Coturnix japonica: one gene and its partners. The protein of the gene in region 1 purifies or fractionates together with the protein of each later gene. This does not show direct contact. Links are inferred from orthologs where the notes say so. Each region holds a gene or a part of one and is shown in the gene's direction. Other genes may lie near its edges.

Region 1 (3,549 bases):
TGATAACTAGCAACATTTCTATTACACCAACTGCTTAAAGCAGGAGCATTTTTGTGTCTAGTGTTAGATTGTTACCAAACCCTAGCCGGCTGTCTGCTGATGGGCATTGTCTGCTTCTTTAAAACTTTTTTCTTAAACTCGCTCATGTGTTTGACTGTTAAAGTAGCTGAACTTCACCTGGTATGAAGAAAAAACATTTGTAGAGTATTGTGTTCTTTAATAATTTAACACCAAGCGTTATGTCATCTGTATCAACTGCCAGACTTTTAAATTCTAGTTCTGTCAGGCTGCACTGTAATCTGCTCTCCAACATGCAAAGGCATGAATGTTTCAGTAGATCTGGAAACTGTTCTTATAAAAGCTTGCCTTACCTGAACATCCCCAAAATTTGGAGAATATCAAATGCATCAAGTAATCAGCTGCATCTCATTAATGTTTATTGTTACTTGAGCTAAGTAGAAAAATTAAGGAGAGTAGTTATATTGAAATCATTAAACTACTCTAAAGAAACCTAAGAGATCATGTAGCATTAAAAAATGTAGAAAGAGATGATGTTATTGAGTTAGAAATGTTCACATCATGCTCTGCTAGTTGTGCATTTCATTAAGCTACCTTCAGTTCTTCAAGTTGCTGTAATTATACTCTACTTAAACCCTACTACATGTTACTACTTGCTTTTTCTTTTTAAATAAATATGTAATTTAAATAATGGAAGAATTTAAGTAAACAACTTAATTTAAAAAGCTTTGACTAGCATTGTTTTGACTAAACACTGTTTTTGAGTCATAGCTTAGTGTGTATATTTGTATGTCTTTTAGGAGAAAAATTCTGTAGGTGCAGACCACGATAAGACAGCAATGGATCTGGCTGCGGAGCAGTTGCGATTGTGGCCAACTCTTAATAAACAAACTCAACAGGAGCTCGTCCAGAATGAGGAAAGTACAGTTTTCAGTCAGGCAATACATTTCGCTAACCTCATGGTCTACCTGTTAGTACCACTAGATACAAGTAAGAACAAGTTATTGAGAGCATCAGCTACTGGTGACTGGGAGAGTGGAAGCAACAGTATTGTCACAAACAGGTGGGTACACTGCCATGATAGGTCAATCTTTTGGGGAAAATACTAATTTTCAGGACTTACTCTGAATACAAGTTTATTTCAGTATCTTCTCTTCAAGATTACTATTTCTAGATAATTAATTAAGGGGAGTGGAAATCTAACATGATTCCTCTCAAATGGTAGAACTTTATCTAGACTAAATTACTGCCACTTAAGGAAATTTAAGAATTTTTTTTTTTTAATGTCCATAGTATTGCAGGCAGTGTTGCAGAGAGTTATGACACTGAAAGTGGATTTGAGGACTCTGAGAACAATGATGTTGCAAATGCAGTTGTGCGCTTCATCACCAGATTTATTGATAAGGTTTGCACAGAGAGTGGAGTTACACAGGATCACATCAAGGGTCTTCATTGCATGATACCAGGTAAGAATTGTGGTGAAAATGTGACTTCATAATCTTTCATTTTTCGGGTTTTTTTTTCTGATGAAAGAAATACACATTTTAGTTGCAGTCAGTTTCTGTGGACATAAAGATCAGATCTTTTTGTAGACTTTAATTGATGTTGAATTTCAACTAACTATTTTCTTGATGGTTAAATTTAAGAATTTTGGAATATCAGCTTTCCAATTAGATTGCAACTTTCTCTTTCATGTTATGCCAGACTTCATTTATGATATTACTGATTTTCAGGCATTGTGGCAATGCACATAGAGACTTTGGAGGCTGTCCATCGTGAGAGTAGAAGGCTTCCACCAATACAGAAGGCAAGCATTATGAAACATGTTTGTATTCTTTACACGTACTAGAATCATGAAGTTTAGTCATCTTTTTTTTTTTTCTTTTATTTTCCACTTCATAATGTTAGAAGGAAACATCAGAACATTGTAAGAAAAATTCCACAAGTGATAAATAAAGTGCTTGGCTTTGGTATCATGAAATATGAACTTAGAAAGCTATTAGAGCCAAATTTTTGATCATAAACAAGCTGTTGCATACCCGCTGTTTTTTGAGACCCATTTTTCTTAGTTGAGTCCAAACTCCATCTCCCTTCTTTGGAATTACTCTCATAACAATTTTGTTTTGAATCTTTCTACACCAAATATAATTAGGCTGAGGTACAACACTGGTACCCTTATCATACTTACACTATTTTACTTTCATCAGCCCAAAATTCTACGACCAGCTTTACTGCCAGGAGAAGAATTTGTTTGTGAAGGTCTCCGTGTGCTACTTGATCCTGATGGCAGAGAAGAAGCTACAGGAGGACTCCTTGGAGGTCCTCACATCCTTCCTGCTGAAGGAGCTTTGTTCCTTACTACCTACAGAATTATATTTAAAGGCACTCCTCATGATCAGCTGGGTAAGAAAAACTCAACAGTAATAGAACTTCGAGCTGACCTGTCCATCTATGTAAATATCAGCATCAAGGTGCATCTACCTCTGAGAGTAATTTTTCATGGTCATCATATTGGGATGGTCTTTTGTTATAGGTTTTTACTCTAGATATGACAGAACTTTATTTTCATTTTGCATTTAGCCTAATCTGATTTCTTCAGATAAGACAGCATATGAACTGTCTGTGATTTGTGACTTCTACTACTTCTTTTCATTTGATGGTTTTTTTTCAACTGCTTGGAAGTGTGTAAAATGAAAAAAACAAACAAACAAAAACATAAGTTAGTAATGTCCTTAAAATTATTATTAATAAATTAAGCATTGCTTTTTATATGTTTTAGGTGGCAGTTTTTCATCTCTTGACATCTGCCATTTCTAAGCAAATTAAATTGTCAAAAATATAGATTTATCTTTCAAAGTTTATAGTTGTTTGTAAAGAAGACGGTGTAAAACTTTCATTGTTTATAAGGTGCTTAATGTAATGTGAACATTAATTATGTTTGTAAGTGTTTCTTGACTGCTTTCCAAACTATATTTTTGGGGTGTATTTTCAATGCACAAAAAACTCAGAGAATATTTTTCCAAACAGAAAGGAAGCAGAAAAAGTAAATGCTTCAGGTTATAGATAATACTTGGGGATTTATCAACTTTTCAAGCATTTTCTGTTAAATTAATTATATGCAGTTATTTTCCCATTGCTTTGTATGTTATAATTATTGTCTGCTCAGAATATATTGTGACCTAAACAGAGCTGATTCTGTGATCAAACAAGTATCCATAAATATTACAATTCTTTGGTTCTCAGTGGGAGAGCAGACGGTGATTCGGAGCTTTCCTATTGCATCTGTTACAAAGGAGAAGAAAATCACTATACAAAACCAGCTGCAGCAAAGTATGCAGGAGGGCTTGCAGATCACTTCAGCTACCTTTCAGGTAAAAGGAAGTTTTGTGAAATTTGTGCAGTTCAAAATACTTACAAGCAGCACTTTGTCCTGATACTCGTGGAGAGTTCAGTGTCCTGCTCTGTAAAGTCAAGAGAGAACATGTAATCCTCTCATAGAAACTCTTTTGGTTTTTGGTTCATTTGAAACAG
Region 2 (4,250 bases), on another chromosome or scaffold:
AAACAGCGGGGAAAAAAATTGCTTTGACAAAGCTGTGTTTTCAAGTTTAAACCAGCTTCAAACCATCCCACATCGAGCTTGCTCAACAGCAGCTGAAAGACACTAAAGGGAAGAGCAGGGGAGGGAATTTCACAGCAGCTTAATGCTGTCTCAGACGGGGCTGCTGCAATACGGCTTCAACATCCTGCTTGCCCTCACCAGTTTGCAAGTGACTCGAAGTGCTTTGGACTTACATCCAGTGACAGGAGCAAACTGGGAAACAGCAGGAGGAGGTACATCAACTGACTTACTCTTTGGAGAGCAAATGGGTGATGAGTAACCATTTTACATCCATAGAACATTCAGATTTGTAGAGGATTTATGACGTTTTGAGTTACTGTTTCAAGCATGGATGTCCCCTGGGAGTCATATTTGTGACACTGGGTGTTCTCTTGCCTCTACCAACAGACTGCTGACTAGCAGGCTTTACTGAAACCCTCCTGCTTGCTAACAGTGCTTTGGCTTCTTGTCTGCCTCATAGAACCTTTGTCAAAACAGCTAATGTGTTCAAAAGACACTGTGAGAGGGAAGCATCAGCTGCAGTTCCTCCTGAGTCTTTGTAAATAATGTTAAGAGCTCTTCTCTTGCTCATCAAACTGCTCCAATATGAGGCCTCACAGCACAGAGCAGAGGGGCAGGATCACCTCCCTCACCCTGATGGCCACACTGCTTTGGATGCAGCCTAGGATACGGCTGGTTCTCTGGGCTGTAAGGGTGCATTGCTGGCTCATACACAGCTTGCCATCAGTCAGTACCCCAAAGTCCTTTTCAGCAGGGCTGTGCTCAATCCTTATACCCCTTGCTTGCCAAAGCCCAGTTGCAGGCCTTACACTCGGCTTTGTTGATCCCTTAGGGGGGAAGTTCTTCACTAGGAGAGTGGTTAGGCCCAAGGAGGTTGTGGATGCCCTGTCCTTGGAGGTGTTCAAGACCAGGTTGGACGGGGCCCTGGGCAACCTGATCTAGTAAATGTGTATGTTTGGTGGCCCTGCCAGGCAGGGGGGGTTGGAACTACATGATCCTTGAGGTCCCTTCCAACTCGGGTCATTCTGTGATTCTGTGATTCCGTGATTCTGTGATTCTGTGATTCTGTGATCCCTATGAGGTTCACCTGGACCCACTGCTGGATCCTGTCGAGGTCTCCTTGGATGACATCTCATCTCTCTGGAGCATCATCAGTAAACTTGCTAAGGGTGCAGACCCCACTGTCAGCGTCTTTGGCGAAGACCTTAAACAGCGCTGACCCTGACACCACGGCGGCTCTCGGTGACGCCCGTAACCGCTATCCCTCACCGACCTCACCGGGCTGCGGTCGCTGAGAGGCGGGCAGGCTGCGGCAAAGGGAGCGGCAGCGCTCGGTATCGCCCCGCCTCGGCCCGCCCTCCCCGCTCAGCACGCCGGGCCGGCATGGCCGCCTCCATCCCCGCTCTCGGCTGACGGCCGCCCGTCCCGGGGCCGCCCCGCAGCCCGGCATGGAGGAGAGCTCCAGCTGCGAGAGCCTCGGCGCCGGGCGGGCGGTGGCAGCGCGGCCGCCCAGCGGCGATTCCCTGTCCAGGTAACGGCCCCCGCGGGCAGCTCCAGCTCCTCAGGGCTGGGCCTGAAGGGCCGTCCCGCTGCACGGAGCCGTGGCGGGGCGGGGGGAGAACATCGGTGCCGCCGTTCTCCATCAGTGCTGAATGCTGCTCGGGGCGGCTGAGCCCTGTGCCGTCTTATTAACAGGAGCGAAGGTCGTGGGGTTTGTTGAATCCGTGTCGTTTTGTCCCCCGACAGCCTTAGGAGAGCCTGATTTTTTATTTTTTTATTTTACTCTTAATGACATTTTAATGCTGCGTGGGTGATTTCCGAGAGGAAATTACCTCTGCGAGGCTTCCTGCGTCTCGCAGGGTGTGGGAGAGGTGTGGATGCCGTGACTCAGAAGCACATCTTGCGAGGCTGTGAGGGTGGGGCACAGGGAGGACGGACGATGCCCCGGAGGCTGGAGGGGTCCTGCCACGTTCTGGCTGCCCTCTGTGCCCAGGTTGAATGGCCATAAGGATCTCTCAGTCCTGCTGGCATGGCTCGGAGGCCAGGTCATACTGGAAACGTGCAAGGATAGCGACTGCACGTCCTCCATCCCTTTGATACCTTCTGTGTAGCCTCTGGGGCTTCCTGTGGGTCCTTCTGAAGTATTTCCTGCTCCAGGCTGACCAAACCCAGTCCATCCTTATGGGGGAGGTGGTCCAGCCCCCACCCTCTCAGTGGTCTCTCCTGAGCTCCCCTCCAGTGCCTTTAGGGAGATAGAAACTGTATGCAGATCCCAGAAGCACATCAATGAGCACTGAGTTGAGGAGGCGGACCTTTCCCTGCATCTCCTGGTGCTTCCCCTGTGCCTTCATCCCAGGGTGACATTGACTTCTGCTCTGCTGTGCCACCCAGCAGGACCCCCAGGCAGGCAGTGCCCACTCTGCATCGATAGCGCATCCTTCTCATGTCCTCTGTGACCATTTCACTCTGCTTCATCAAGCTCTTCTGTTTTCTGTATCTGTTTCCATAGTGTGCTTTACCTGCCAGATGCCGTTTCTCTTTTTCCTCACTTCCCCAGTATAATTCTCGTCCACTCTCTGCATCAGCTGGGGCAGCTTGGACCCATCTGAAGGTCAGTCACTGTACAGGAAACTGGGACCTGCAGTCATGGAAACACAGCTTACCTTGGAAGAACCTTACTCAGCAGCATGCCCTGTACAGATGGAAGCACTGGGAGATGGAGGTGGTAAATCTGTCTCTGCTGAGCATGCACAGGACTGTCCTCCAAGTCCTGAAAAGGCCTTAACTTGAACAGTTTTCTTGGGGTATTAAGAAGCTTATCTGATAACCTTCAGAATTTCAAGTCTCTGCTCCAACATCTCGATGCAAATACCCTGAAACATATTTGTATGGTTGAATGTATTTTACATTCAACATACAATATATTTATTTTCATCCCTTTCTTATTGTGGTCTGTAAGGTAGGACAGCTTTGAGTTCTGAGCCCTTGGTAAGGCACAGCTGGTAGAGTTTACCATTGGAAAGGTTGCTCACGTGAATAAGGACCTTAAAAAACACACGTGTTAGAATGTTTGTCATTTGGTTGTGCAAATGGGATGTTGGTGACGTCTGATAGTGGAGGTTGCTTTGATGTTTCAGTAGACCTGAGTGATGGTCTGGGGCTTCTGGGGGACTGATAAATACCTTTTCACTGTGCTAAGTAATAGTTTGGAAAGACTCTCTGTGAAATTAATTAAATTAAAAGGTGATATCAAATTGTAGGTGACATTAAAGGTGATAAGGCATTTTGTTTGTGTTGTGATTCCATGTCTTAGTCTCCAAATGAACAAATCTCTGTGTGCTTCCATAAAAAACGTTTGAAAAACATATTAAAGCTCAGTCTGAACAACAGACAAGTAGAATGGCCAGGAGTCTCTCTGTTAGGTCCACTGAAGGTGAATTTGTACTGCCTGTGCAGAAGCGTGGATGTGATTGTACAGGAAGGAAATTGCTGCAGGAGATGTCGGTGATTTTTCAACCTCAGTCTAAAATGACAGACAGAGATAAGGCAGTGGGCAGATGTTTCCTGCCAGCGTGACTGTAGCGATGTTTGATGTTCCCACTTTCTGGTTGCTTGTTACCACCTCTCTGCTGGCAGTTATGCTCCGTAGAGGTCTGCGGGCGCAGTGAATCCTGTGCGCTGTGCTTCATGCTGAAGCATATGAAAACAATCACGCTCCTTGTCCTTAGCGTTTGCAGGGGTAACTCAGAAAACATAAGCTCTGTGTAAATCAGTGCAGCGAGGTCTGTTGAAGCAATAGCTCCACGAGGTATGAACTCCGTTCATCTCAAATAAGGTCCTGTCAATACCTGCTCTGATTTAAGGCTATGTTGAAGGAATTCTTTCCCCACAGATGAGAGTGATGCTGGAAGGAGTTGGATCTGTAAGCTGTTGGCTGAGGAGGGCTCGCTAGCACCACATTGCTACCAGATGTGTGTGATTTGCTGATGGAGTTGTTTTGTGATGAGTCATTGAAGTTAGAGTTTGAAAAGGAAGGGTTTTTGCCAGTTCTGGCATTCAGTGAAATGCGAGTAGCTGTCTTTTTCTTCCTGGACTTTGAGAGCACTTCTTGCTTTTGATTTCTTCTATGCGTGCAGCAGGATTTCTGAGAGTTGTTGCCATTGAAGACAAGTATGTTGCTTGCTGAGTGC
Region 3 (4,194 bases), on another chromosome or scaffold:
ATAATGTGTAAATATTTTGCATACAAAAACTAAGTTTAAAGCTATAATTCCACAGAGTCAGTCAAAGTTTAGAGGGATATTTTTTAGGAGCAGTGTTTTTTCTTTCAAAGGAATTAAAATGTGCTGCCTCTCCATTTGCTTCAGCGCAGACACGGAGTTGCACTACTTTATGTTCAGGGAAGCTCAGAGCATACAGCGCGTGTGCTCTAAAATGCACACAACTTATTTCTTTGTCCTTTAAATTTCATTCTCCCTTCAGTATTTCTCACTGTGGTTTCCAAACCAACAAGAAATGCCGTGATCCCAAAGCTTGGCTCGTTGAGGTAAACAAGATGCATTTATTTCAGATGAAGGAAGATACTTGGCTGAGATACACTTTTGAGAACTATGCATATTCTGGTATATTTTGCCTTTTACTTGTAGTTTCTATATGTATATAGATACGTATATATAAAGCTAATTTTATTAGAATATTTAATGTTTCTGTATTTGAGTTGAATACATCGGTGACATCTCTGAGCGGTGTGGGGAAGTTCAGAAGGTATAATTCTACACTACACGATAACCTGTTGTGTGTGGGGAAATGTAACATAATGGAAAGATCTTTATGCGCTCAGTTCATTACTTAGATTCCATTCTTCATATTGCTGGTTTGGATCAGTGTTCATAGGAAGCTCCTTTCCATCCAGATGAGTATTTGGGCTGTCATTTGGCATTGTGATGTGAGCCTCCCCAGGTCCAAGCCAGGAAGTTCCTGAGGTGGTGAATAAGGAAGTGATGGGCAATGACTGCCAGCTTTGGGAGAGGGAGAGCTGGGCTGTAGCCAGCAGCAGCTACAGCTCCGTGCTGTCCTTTGTGAAACACTGGCCTGAGCTCTGTTACTGTGTTATTGTTTTATTTCTCTTGTATCCTTCCTTCCACGGACCCTGTTCTGTACTGGGAAGTTACTGCAGACTGCTTTCTTCCTTTGCTGCATGCCTTATCCATCCCAGCATCACCGTTAGGAGTGTTACCTACGGAAGCCTCTCACACTGCCTCCTTTGGAAGTATGTTGGAGCTCGGTTTGTACGGTGTCACACTTGAGCCCTGGGCCTATTGCAGCAGCACCGTGGGGCGCCGGGCGATGAGAGCCGCTCTGAAGCGGGGCGGGAGGGGAGCCCGGTCTCCGTGTGCTCTGTATGTGCGTGGATGGGAATAAAGAAATAAAGGTTTCTAGATTTCTCTTTACAATCATTCTGCTCCTTCCGCCGCTTCCCTCGGGCCGGGCCTGCCCCGCTCCCACCCGGCGCCGCCCCTCCCGGCGCCGCGGAGGCCTGTGGGTAAGGCCGGCCGCCAGGTGACAGCTCTGGGCCGCCGCCGGGTCCCGGGCTGAGGCGGCAGGGCCGGGCCGTGCCGGGCGGGAGGCCGCCATCGTGGCGGCGCGGGGCGTCCCGCCGGCGGCTGGAAACATGGAGCGGGCGGCGGCGGCCGGGCCGGCGGCGGAGAGCGGCGTTGTGAGCCGGAGGGCCGCCAGGACGGCGGCGGGAGCGGCTGCGGGGGCCGGTTCGCGGCAGGCCAGCAGCGAGACGCTGGACAGGTGAGCGGGACGGCACGGCTCCGCTATGCGCCGCTGGGCTCCGGCACGGCGGCCTGCGCTGCGCTGCACTGCACTGCGCTGCCCTCCGCATATGGCTGAGGCCTCCGGGCCCTCCTGCAGCCGGGGCGGCCGTGTGGGAGCGGGGCTCAGCCGGTGCTTCAAATCTGCGCCTTTATTTTTGTCCCGCCGCTTTAACAAACGGCGGATTTTCCTCTGTCAAAGTTTCCTGCCTGCGGTCGTGTGCTTCTCGCGATTAGCGTCATCCGTGCGGTAAGGCTGGGGCTGCCTGCAGGATTTTGGCTGGGGTTATGGGGAACCTACGGAGCTTCTTATCTCTCCTGAGGCGGTTTTCCTGTTGCAGCCGGCTGTTCTGTTGGCTGCTTCTCGGAGGCGCAAACACGAGTGTTTCACCTCGGGCTGCACGGCTCGGTGGGTGGGCAGGTGCTGGGGGCAGGCAGAGGGCTCTGCTGAAAAAGCCTTAACCCAGAGCAGCTCCGAGGACTATTAGTTTGCCCAGGGAGGTTGTGGATGCCCCGTCCTTGGAGGTGTTCAAGGCCAGGTTGGACGGGGCCCTGGGCAACCTGATCTAGTAAAGGTGTATGTTTGGTGGCCCTGCCAGGCAGGGGGGTTGGAACTACATGATCCTTGAGGTCCCTTCCAACCCGGGTAATTCTGTGATTCTGTGACCATAAGCATGCATTTGGCACACTGACAGCTCTACATCTCTGTGAAGATCCAGTAAAATTCTTTTACCTCCTTTGTACATTGAAATAATTGTGTTCTGCCCCCAGAGAAACCTGATTTGTATAGTGTTAACACTCACTTATGGCCTTGTTTTGTACCGCTGTGCCGTGTTATTCTCAATATATATTTTGAATGCGTATGGTAACTGTTGAATCATGGCCTGAACCACTGATTGAGCACCTAGGGAAAGGACTGGGTCAGCCCTGGGAGCACAGGGGAAGGCAGTTCTGCTGGGTGACCAACTGGAGCCTGGCTGCACCTCCCTTAGACCTCATTTAAGGGCTCACTGCCACTGGGTAGGGATCTCCGGTTAGAGATCCTTCCCCTGTAGCTCTTCCTGTGAGCTGAGGTCTTTGGAGATGGGTGAGCACTTTTCCCTTCTATCTGCCCTAGTCCTTTTGCTGTTCCACTCCTGTATTGCCTTTCCACTGTACTGTCCTTTTTGATTGTATGATATTGATCGTTAAACGACATTAAGTATTCTGTTTCTGTAGCCCTACAGGGTCGCATGTTGAATGGTGCAAACAGCTGATAGCTGCTACCATTTCCAGTCAGATCTCTGGGTCTGTCCCTTCGGAAGGTGTGTCCAGAGACTACCGGGTAAGTATCCTGAGCAGTGTGTTCATTTGTGTTGGATAAGAGTGAGCAGTCAGGAAAGACCTTGCTGCTTTGAGTGTCAGCTGGTAAGTACTTCAGTGATCTCAGAGTATTTAACAACTAGAAGCGTCTCATTTGTGCATAGGAATCTTTTGAATGTGATCTGTGTTTTCCTCCATAGTTAGAGTAGTGACAATGAAATGTACAGATAAAATGCAGGTGTGTCAGCTCAGTGCTCAGTTTATCTCTTGAGTTACATGGTATTCCTCTGCCTTTGTTGTAAGGCACTCCTTACTGCCTTTCTATTCTGAGTAGCTTCATTCTCTGTTGCATATTCACCTTGGTTATTACTTAAGAGGACTAAGTCTTTTGAGGCCTAGTTAGGTGCGTTTATCTCTCTTTCTTAGAAACAAAGGAACAAAAAATAATGACTGCCTTCAGAAATGAGTTGAATGTGAGAGCAGTGAGGTGCTGTCACAGGCTGCCCAGAGAGGCTGTGGATGCCCCATCCCTGGGGGTGTTGAAGGCCGGGTTGGATGGGGCTCTGAGCAGCCTGGTCTACTGTTAAATGTTGGTGGCTCTGCCTGTGGTGGGGGGGCGGTAGGGGGTGGAGATTTGTGACCCTTGAGGTTCCTTCCAACCCGGGCTATTCTTTGATTCTGTGTGATTCCAGTGAAGAGCTGCAGCCGTCTGTGTTTTGCCATTAGAATCCAGAAGATCTGGGGGTTGTATTTCATCATTGTTACCACAGGCTTCTTATTTTTACCTCAGAGAATTACTGGGCTTGCTATTCCCTTGTCACAGTAGCATTGAATAAAAGAGTGATTTACTAAAATAATAAGTAAAATAAGTAATTTTTTTCAAAAGAATGTGGCATTTGTTTCAGCACTAAATGGAAGTGGCTAGAATACTTTAACAGCAGATTAATTCTGCAAGTAGGAGCTGCTATATGTACATAGGGTTGTTTTGTTCTGCTTTTAAGTTCAGCTGTAATGAACATGCTTGGAAGTAGAGTTCTCTTGAAAATCTGACAAATGCTGTAATACCTTTAATGAATCAAAGCTGTGCATTTTGTTGGATAACATGTTATATTTTAACTAACAGGTGTACAGGAGGCCTGATATTCGGGTAAGGTTACCTGTGGCAAGTAGTAAAACGGCCTCCTGCCTGTTTGTCCTTTGTGCTGTGTGACATCTTGGTGTGTCAAGCGTTCTTCTTTACTTCGTTGATGGTTTTTATGATCTCTCAGGCCATGTTTCTATGCAATGCAACAGCTT

Evidence for each region.
Region 2: the proteins of SBF2 (region 1) and MTMR2 purify together in Homo sapiens (affinity purification with mass spectrometry; 3 studies listed by BioGRID and IntAct, with this or other methods). This does not show direct contact. The link is inferred for Coturnix japonica from reciprocal best matches to the Homo sapiens genes SBF2 and MTMR2.
Region 3: the proteins of SBF2 (region 1) and MTMR1 purify together in Homo sapiens (affinity purification with mass spectrometry; 3 studies listed by BioGRID and IntAct, with this or other methods). This does not show direct contact. The link is inferred for Coturnix japonica from reciprocal best matches to the Homo sapiens genes SBF2 and MTMR1.

Annotation. Positions count from the first base shown.
Region 1 is NC_029520.1:13,379,387-13,382,935, forward strand, and holds part of SBF2 (myotubularin-related protein 13), read left to right. Parts: intron 1-818; coding exon 819-1,081; intron 1,082-1,311; coding exon 1,312-1,484; intron 1,485-1,751; coding exon 1,752-1,825; intron 1,826-2,225; coding exon 2,226-2,421; intron 2,422-3,261; coding exon 3,262-3,389; intron 3,390-3,549. UniProt on the Homo sapiens protein: Guanine nucleotide exchange factor (GEF) which activates RAB21 and possibly RAB28. Promotes the exchange of GDP to GTP, converting inactive GDP-bound Rab proteins into their active GTP-bound form.
Region 2 is NC_029516.1:165,634,629-165,638,878, forward strand, and holds the start of MTMR2 (myotubularin-related protein 2), read left to right. Parts: upstream 1-1,408; 5' UTR 1,409-1,508; coding exon 1,509-1,591; intron 1,592-4,250. UniProt on the Homo sapiens protein: Lipid phosphatase that specifically dephosphorylates the D-3 position of phosphatidylinositol 3-phosphate and phosphatidylinositol 3,5-bisphosphate, generating phosphatidylinositol and phosphatidylinositol 5-phosphate.
Region 3 is NC_029519.1:16,435,073-16,439,266, reverse strand, and holds the start of MTMR1 (myotubularin-related protein 1), read left to right. Parts: upstream 1-1,382; 5' UTR 1,383-1,448; coding exon 1,449-1,576; intron 1,577-2,814; coding exon 2,815-2,920; intron 2,921-4,021; coding exon 4,022-4,045; intron 4,046-4,194. UniProt on the Homo sapiens protein: Lipid phosphatase that specifically dephosphorylates the D-3 position of phosphatidylinositol 3-phosphate, generating phosphatidylinositol. Could also dephosphorylate phosphatidylinositol 3,5-bisphosphate to produce phosphatidylinositol 5-phosphate.